Linked DNA regions of Nothobranchius furzeri. The main gene of each other region encodes a partner of the protein of the gene in region 2 in a complex. Links are inferred from orthologs where the notes say so. Each region holds a gene or a part of one and is shown on either strand. Other genes may lie near its edges.

Evidence for each region.
Region 1: the proteins of fibroblast growth factor receptor substrate 2 (region 2) and ntrk2a are in contact, whole or in part, in an NMR structure (PDB 2MFQ), measured with the Homo sapiens proteins. The link is inferred for Nothobranchius furzeri from reciprocal best matches to the Homo sapiens genes FRS2 and NTRK2. Residues at the interface, in NP_001036020.1 of Homo sapiens: Val26, Asp27, Asp28, Asp29, Gly30, Tyr59, Leu60, Cys61, Leu62, Arg63, Arg64, Tyr65, Gly66, Tyr67, Asp68, Ser69, Asn70, Leu71, Phe72, Ser73, Gly77, Arg78, Ile86, Ala88, Lys90, Phe98, Gln102, Met105, Gln106, Ser109; in NP_001018074.1 of Homo sapiens: Pro498, Asp499, Val501, Ile503, Gly504, Met505, Thr506, Lys507, Ile508, Pro509, Val510, Ile511, Glu512, Asn513, Pro514, Gln515, Tyr516, Gly518, Ile519.

Annotation. Positions count from the first base shown.
Region 1 is NC_091757.1:48,553,500-48,557,319, forward strand, and holds part of ntrk2a (BDNF/NT-3 growth factors receptor), read right to left. Parts: intron 3,668-3,820; coding exon 3,519-3,667; intron 1-3,518. UniProt on the Homo sapiens protein: Receptor tyrosine kinase involved in the development and the maturation of the central and the peripheral nervous systems through regulation of neuron survival, proliferation, migration, differentiation, and synapse formation and plasticity.
Region 2 is NC_091744.1:79,870,737-79,874,556, forward strand, and holds part of fibroblast growth factor receptor substrate 2, read right to left. Parts: intron 2,395-3,820; coding exon 2,208-2,394; intron 1-2,207. UniProt on the Homo sapiens protein: Adapter protein that links activated FGR and NGF receptors to downstream signaling pathways.

The DNA.
Region 1 (3,820 bases), on a different chromosome or scaffold from region 2:
CCCAAACAGATGAACTGATGGAGACACAAACATAAAGATTGGCAGATGGAGATGGTGTACACCTGTGTTGTTGTTATGAAGGTGGTTAAGTATAGGCGGACTGGTGCTGTGTCTACAGAGATGCGGGTGTTGTACCCGTCTGTTGTGGTGAAGAGAGAGCTGAGCCGATATACCAGTCGATCTACGTTCCAACCTTCATCTATGCTCATGAGCTTTGGGTTCATGTACGTAAGACGACGAAGAGTTTTTTTTTTCTTTTGGGTGGCTGGGCTCTCTTTTAGAGATGTGGTGAGAAGCTCGGTCATCCAGGAGGGGTTTGGAGTAGATCTGCTGTTCCTCTATATTAAAAGGAACCAGTAAAGGTGGCTTGTACATCTGGTTAGGATCTCTCTTGGATACATCCTTGGTGAGGTTTTTCGAGCACATCCAACTGGTAGGAGACGTAAATGAAGACCAAGGACCTCTCTTCTTATGGGCTCGACACACGGGAGGTGACATCGCCTCTCCTCCATTCATTTTCAATGAGACATGCACGACAAAGCGATAATCGCGGGTCTCTCTCCTACTAAGCGAAACGCGAAAAATGTGCGTGTGAAATTTTGCACTCGTGCATGTGCCGTGCACGGACGACCCAGCGACGCGATCCCAGAAAGTTGAAACATTTTCAACTTTTCATCTCTGTCGCTCGGACGAGGACCAATCAACGGAGGTTTCATTCACTGACCAATGAGCGGACATTATGCTCCGCACATCTCCGAGCAAACATGAAGGAGAAGTTTATTATTATTATGTTTTATAGTAAAATCAGAAGTAAGATTTCACATAACTCTAGCAGCACCTTGTGAAACATTATATCTACCACTTTATTAACTCTGAACCGCTTAAATAACCTTAATTCCCTCCAACCTGACACAGCCAAAAAAAACTACGGAAGTTTCGATTTCGCCACGGAACAGAACGCGTAGACGGCTTTGCCGCTGGCCGCTGCCGCGGATCGCCTCCCGTGTGACAGGTAATAAAAGCGACAGCGACAAATTTCGCTGATCGCGGCCGTTTGTCGCCTCCCGTGTGTCGAGCCTATTAGGCTGCTGTCCCCGCAGCCCAACCCCAGAAGATAAGCAGGATATGGATGGAGAGATGGATCGAAGGTTACTGAATAATTCTTGATTTCCACATCAGCAGCCAAGTTACTGAAGACATTGTTCATCTAAAAGAGTTATGGAAGTAAATTATGCGGAAGTAGTTTCATGCTCCTATTTTATTGTTTCCGTCAGCATTACACTTTTACCACCTGAAGCTGTTTGAGCTTTGAGTGACACAGTAGATTGGTTTTTCTTTATTGCACAAGCAGAATAAGAGAGCAGCACTGCTTGGTGAATTAGTGCATTGGTCAGCAGCAGCAGCAGCCCTTTCTTTGGGTGGAGCTTTGGCAGTATGCTGTCTAACAGATAGAGATCAGTGTTGGCTCAGCCTCGGGGCTTCGCTGGGCATTCCCTCTCCTTTGTGCCTTCCTCACAATGTCACTCAGAAATGTTCAGACACAAGGACACACATGAATCAGACAGGGAAATGGGAAATACGGATGAGGCACCAGCAGTTTGGTCAGGATGAGTGGTTTTTGGTGTGTCACAGTTAGCCTCAGGGAGTCTTTTGACTCTCCTGCCCCACCATGTCCCCCTTCTCATATGTCACTCGGCTGGGGGTCCCCTGCCCACCACTTCAGGGGCCCCAATGTGGCTGTGCTAATGCCAAAAATAACCTCTGTTAATGGAGGGGAGGCAGAGGGGACAGATCAATAGGAGTTATCAATGTCATTGTTAGCTTCCTGTAAGCGAACTTATTGTTTGTGTCCAGAGTGCTCTCGTTGCCCCGAGCTATTCCTGACCACTCTGTCAGCAGCAGATGTGACAAAAATCCTCCCAGGTTCATCCTTTCATTTGGGCCGATTAAATTTCTCTTTAGTATTTATACATACTAAAATGTGGAGCATGTTTCTTTTTGTCCTTAAATCAAATTCCATTTTTTTTAATATGGCGATTTCAGACAGAGACACAAAAGCTGCAGAAAGCCAACAACCTGGAGACAAAGAGCAGGACCATCACAGACTAGACGGGTCAAGCTGTAATTTGACCCTGTTTATGAATAGAAGACTCCAAAATAGAAGATTCATAAAAATAACTCATGCTGCGTACATAAAGAAGACAGGAATAAAGTATCAATTAAGTGCTGACATTAATACATTAAGGCTTGATAAACATTCTTGTATGCAGATACTTCAGGTCTGTAGATGGCTCCTGACTGACAGCAAGCTTCACAATGCACTTGTGAATAAATCCACCCACTGTCAAGAATTCATAAAAAAAATATCAATTAATCAACCAACCAACCAACCAACCAATCAATCAATTAATTAATTAATTAAGGAAAATTCATAAAAGTATAAAAAAAATATTTTAACCCTCTGGAGGCAGGCGTTGCAGATTTGCAACGTTAAAACCTACCGACCTGGTTACTCCACATACCTATTTCATGAGCATTTTTTAACTCAGAAGTACCCCTGAAGGACTTATTCGTCCTTTTATCAAAACTTATTTTGAGCCCGAGAGAGTTAATTTTGGAGCTTGAAAATGTTTTTCTTTTTTTATTTGTTATTTGCAGTTCAGTACTTTCCACATAGTCATGAGATTGATGGACAAAGCCATCAGAAGCATCCTGCCTTGTTGCAGCAGGATCACCAGAGCTAAAGGACATGACGCAGATGGTCTGTATCAATCTAATTTTCAGGCTCATTGGTGTTTTCAATGTGTTAAATTGCACTAGTGTGTTTTTGGCATTGTTTTTACATCAATGTGGCCAATAAAGTCTCTTCTCAGAGCCAATGTGCATACGTCTCAGATAACACACACACACACACACACACAGTTTCTTAGTTACACATCGTCTAACTTTTAAACTCCCTCCATGTGTCATTTATCTGTTTGCAACATGAAACATTGCACATTTCAACGTGTGGAGATCAGAAGACAGCACAGCTTTGTGTAACTGAAATAGAGTGTATGCAGGGCTCTCCTTGCAGCCCCTGCAAACACACAAATCAGCAGATATGTGTAACTGATTACTGCAGTCGCTGTTGTTGCTGCATGAAATGTGTTCTTTGTACAGTAATTCTCTCAGGTGTTAACAGCAAATCTCCCTTCCCTTCTCATGCGTTCCACACACCCCCTGGGAACTGACAAAACACTTAGCACTTTTGTTTTACAGTTACAAGTCTCATGCTGCACGAGTCGCACTTAAACATAAACACATTTGTGCAAATGCACTCTGTGTACCTTTAATAAAGATGTGCCTAATACGTGCAGACTAATGGACAAATCAAAACGTTTATTTAAATAAACTTATTGCAGTAAATTCCAGTTCTCTTCAGATGCTTCAATGCTTTGTGCACTGGTCACCTAGAGCGTGTCTGTTGCCCTGTCTGTCTTTGAGTGGGGTGGGGGGGTGCGTGCGTGTGTCCTTACCACAGTTTGGCGGTGTCAGTTTGGACAGCAGCTTGCGTGCCCCTCCGTCCTCAATGCAGCGCAGCTCTTGAGTGTCTGCTTCCTCTGCCAACCACAGTTTGATCCACATGTTCTCACAGGAGCAATGCAGAGGATTCCCTGACAGGATCCTTCACACACACACACACACACACACACACACACACACACACACACACACACACACACACACACACACACACACACACACACACACATGCAAGCATGCAAAACAGCAGGAGCTACTGTAAAGATTTGACAATAATTTGTTGTTGTTGTTTGTT
Region 2 (3,820 bases):
AAGGTGGCTAAAGATGTTTCCTCAGCTGATTAGAAGGATTCATCCTTCCATAAACTCCTCCAGGTCTCCCTTCACCTGTCCTCCTCCTGATTTACCTGCGACAGGTAAGCTTCTGACACACTCAGACAAGGCAGTCAGACAGTTCCCTTCACCATCTAAATGCTGAACACGACTGTTCTCAGAAATGCATCAAAGCCTTCAGAGCAGCTGCAAACCAGAAAAGTTGCAAAAACTGACGGTCATTTGAGCTCTAATGCAGACCAAGTTCTTCCAAACATCTGGACCAAATCCAGAGCAACCCCAGTGTCTACAGACAGGAAGTGGTCAGGGCTATGGTCAGGGACTCAGCCTCTTAGGGTCTGATCTGTTTGACCACAACATATTTGATGAAACCAAACCCTAAAGTCACCAGACAGGCACCGTACAACTCCCCAGTACACTAGTGGCCCCATCAGCCTTAGCTACAGCTTCTAAGCTCGACTCTCCCATATTCCCGTCTGAACTGACAGAGCTCCTTGGACGAGAAGTGAAACCAAAGAAATCCAGTTGCCTTCATTAAACCCATTTTGGATCATTTTGAGTTGTTGCATTTATTGGAAAAAGAACCTTAACATAAGGATTTTAATTTAAATAAGTTTTGAACATGAAAAGTAATCAAATACTTTTTGGATTCATCTGTTCTGCAGTTCATCTGGTATGCGAGATTGTCATTCAGACATGTATAAACAGGAAAAGAACATATTGCAATAAGTATCATCACCACATGAGCTTCAGAAATGAGGGCGATAGAGATTTTAGGCCACATCGCCCATTCCTAGAGTTAACAACTCAAAAACATCCTAAAATTCTAATTAGCATGGGGTAATGTGGGTAACCAGCAGGTCTTAGCTTAGATACCAAGTCCAACAAACGCTCAGCAGACACGGGGGCCATCAACACAAGAGCAGGTCAGCCCACTAACTCCATCACAGCGCTAACGTGCCCCTGGTTGGTCTAAGCCACAGGTGTCAACTCCAGCCGTCCAGGGCCGGTGTCCTGCATCTTTTTGTTGTTTCCCTGTTCCAACACAGTCGATCCACCTGTGCAGCAGCTCATCAAGCTCTCCAGAAGCCTGCTAATCACCTGTTGGTTGGAATCAGGTGTGTTGAAACAGGAAAACACTACAACAGGTGGGAGAGCGGCCCTCGAGGACCAGAGTTTTGGGCCATTCCCATCTGTACCGGGTCGGCCCGGGCCAGGTAGCCCCAGTCGGCCCCAGCCTGGCCCGGTTGATTCCACACATCCTTGTCTTAAGCCCATGTGGGCTGATTCTACCCACCAATCAGAGGCTTGCTCTAATGGAAGGTGTGAATTTGCTGTCAGCAGTGGGTGTGTTGGCCCTGGTCGGCCTGAAGCAGACCCCCTCGAGAAGAGGGCTGAGAATGAGCCTTGGTTGGCCCGGAAAAATACCAGGCCACCCAGATATGTAAACAACCTACGCTACCCGGCCCGGGCCGACCCGGTACAGATGGGAATGGCCCATTTGACACCTGTGGAGAGACGACAGTCTGGGGCTGAACCAGGAGGTCTAATGGGACAACGTGGAGTTGACTTCAACACCTGACAGACGAGGAAGAGGGAAAACACATCCAAAGGCCGCAAACACACGAGTCACTGAGACTGTAGGGTGCACAAAACCAACACACATATTGATCCCTGTGTATCCACAGCACAATCAATACTGATCAGCTGATCAGCCTACCCATCTGAGACTTACCAATACCACCCCAACCCTGAGCAGACCATGGTCCAGACAGCATGCATGAGAAACATTAGACACAGAGCAACTTTAGCCAAATGCCACCACATTTCCTACCTTACCTGTTGGTTTTACCTGAGGCTGAACAGGAAGTTGATGAACTAGTCCAGAGGTTCTGGCTGCTTTCTGACTATAGATATCTTACAAGTACTGATCCAACTTAGTTCAATGAGATCAGAAAAAAATGGTGGGTGCCACCTCTGACTGCAGAGGGCCACAAAGGTTATTGTGGCCCAGAAGCACCTTTCTGGGTTAGGGCTGTCACTCTCTAAGAGCTCGTCGTTAAGCCACACCCTTGCTGAGCAGCTACGTGGCGTTTTCAGTATTAAAATGCCCCATCGCTGACAGGCGTGAGCTGATTGGTTAGCATGGCCAGTGTGGAGCAGGTTACTCGGATAGGCATGTGTACCTTGGCCTGTCTGGCAGCGCCGGCCACTCTCAAATGAGAACAGGTTGGAGTCATAGCCGTAACGTCGCAGACACAGGTATGGCCACCTGACATCATCGCGGCGATGGGTGTGAAGGACGAGTTCTGATTCGGTCAGCTCCATGACACCTGAGCCCAGCTCGTTTCCATCATCGTCAACATTAATCACCTGGAAGCAAACACAGTCACATTTTTCCTCTTAATAATGACACAGATTCTTTACTCGCTTTAACGAGCGCTGTCTCTCCATCCTGGACAACATCTGTCCTGTCAGAGCCCGATCAGCTCCTGCAGTGAACCCTACTTTCTGGTTTAACTTCAGCCTGAAGCAACAGTGCAGAAAAGTTGAGCGCTTGTGGAAGAAAACCCGTCTCCACGTCCATCTGCTGCATCTAAAGGACCTTCTGACCTCCTTTAACTCTGCAGTCAGAGACGTGAGGGTTGCCTATTTCTCCATCCTGGTGTCCCAGAGCAAAGGGAACCCCAAGGTGCCGTTTATGTAGTAAGAAATCACAATGTAGCCATGGAAGCGCTACTTGGGATATAAGTTGTTAGTGTGTGTGTGCCTGCGAACTTCTCCATCCCTAGTGAGTTGTGGCGGATGGCTGCTTATTGCTAGGTTTCACATGACGTTACCTAGATGTCACCAAATGCAGATGGGGGTCCGGAAGTGGCAGGCACTGCACAAAATGCTGTTTACTTTGATAACTGGGCATTAAAATGCCCAAATCCTATGAGGTCTACGGTTAATATAATCACTAAGGCTCCTCCCCTTCCGGTCGGCTCATGGGTCCCCGGAGGAACGAAAAAATGAATGCAAGTCAATGGGGATAAAAGCCATCTCCTAACCCGCTCTGCCTTACGCCCTGGATCACACAAGTTGTACGTCTATTTAAGTGAAAAGTAATGATGATGTTTCGACCACGCCAGTCACGTACTGTGAGATTTATCAGCTGGTAAAAGTTTGTAATTAGCATGACTACACACCAGATGTCGGTATGTCGCATATATGACGTCACCACAGAATCTCCTCCCCCTAGCGTAGCTGCTACTTACCACATGACCTGATTTATGGTGGCTGTTTCCTTCTGAAGAAAGGACTAGTGATGCACCGATTAGTGATGCACCGATATTACATTTTTGGATATATTAAGATATTAATATATATTAAGATATTAAGATCACTGGTGTGGCCGATAACCGATACTCATGATACAGATATTCTGACATTAATGCTTCTAAAATAAGCAGATTTTGTATAGAATGAAATAATTTAAGCTGAATTTATGTTATTACGCACGCACGCACGCACGCACGCACACGCACACACGCACACACACACACACACACGCTTCTGAGATGATTTCATTCACATCACCACCCCCACCCTCTGAAACAGGCAAACAAATTGAGACGAGATGGAAAAAATATCGGTTGTTAATATGGGCCCGGTTTGATTTATCGAACCAATACCGATATGTTAAAAACCCGACTAACATCGGCAGATATTGATACCGATATATTGTCCATCCCTACAAAGGACAGTTTGCTGAACTTACGGCCATTTTCTCTGTGTCTGGTTTGATGACGTCACT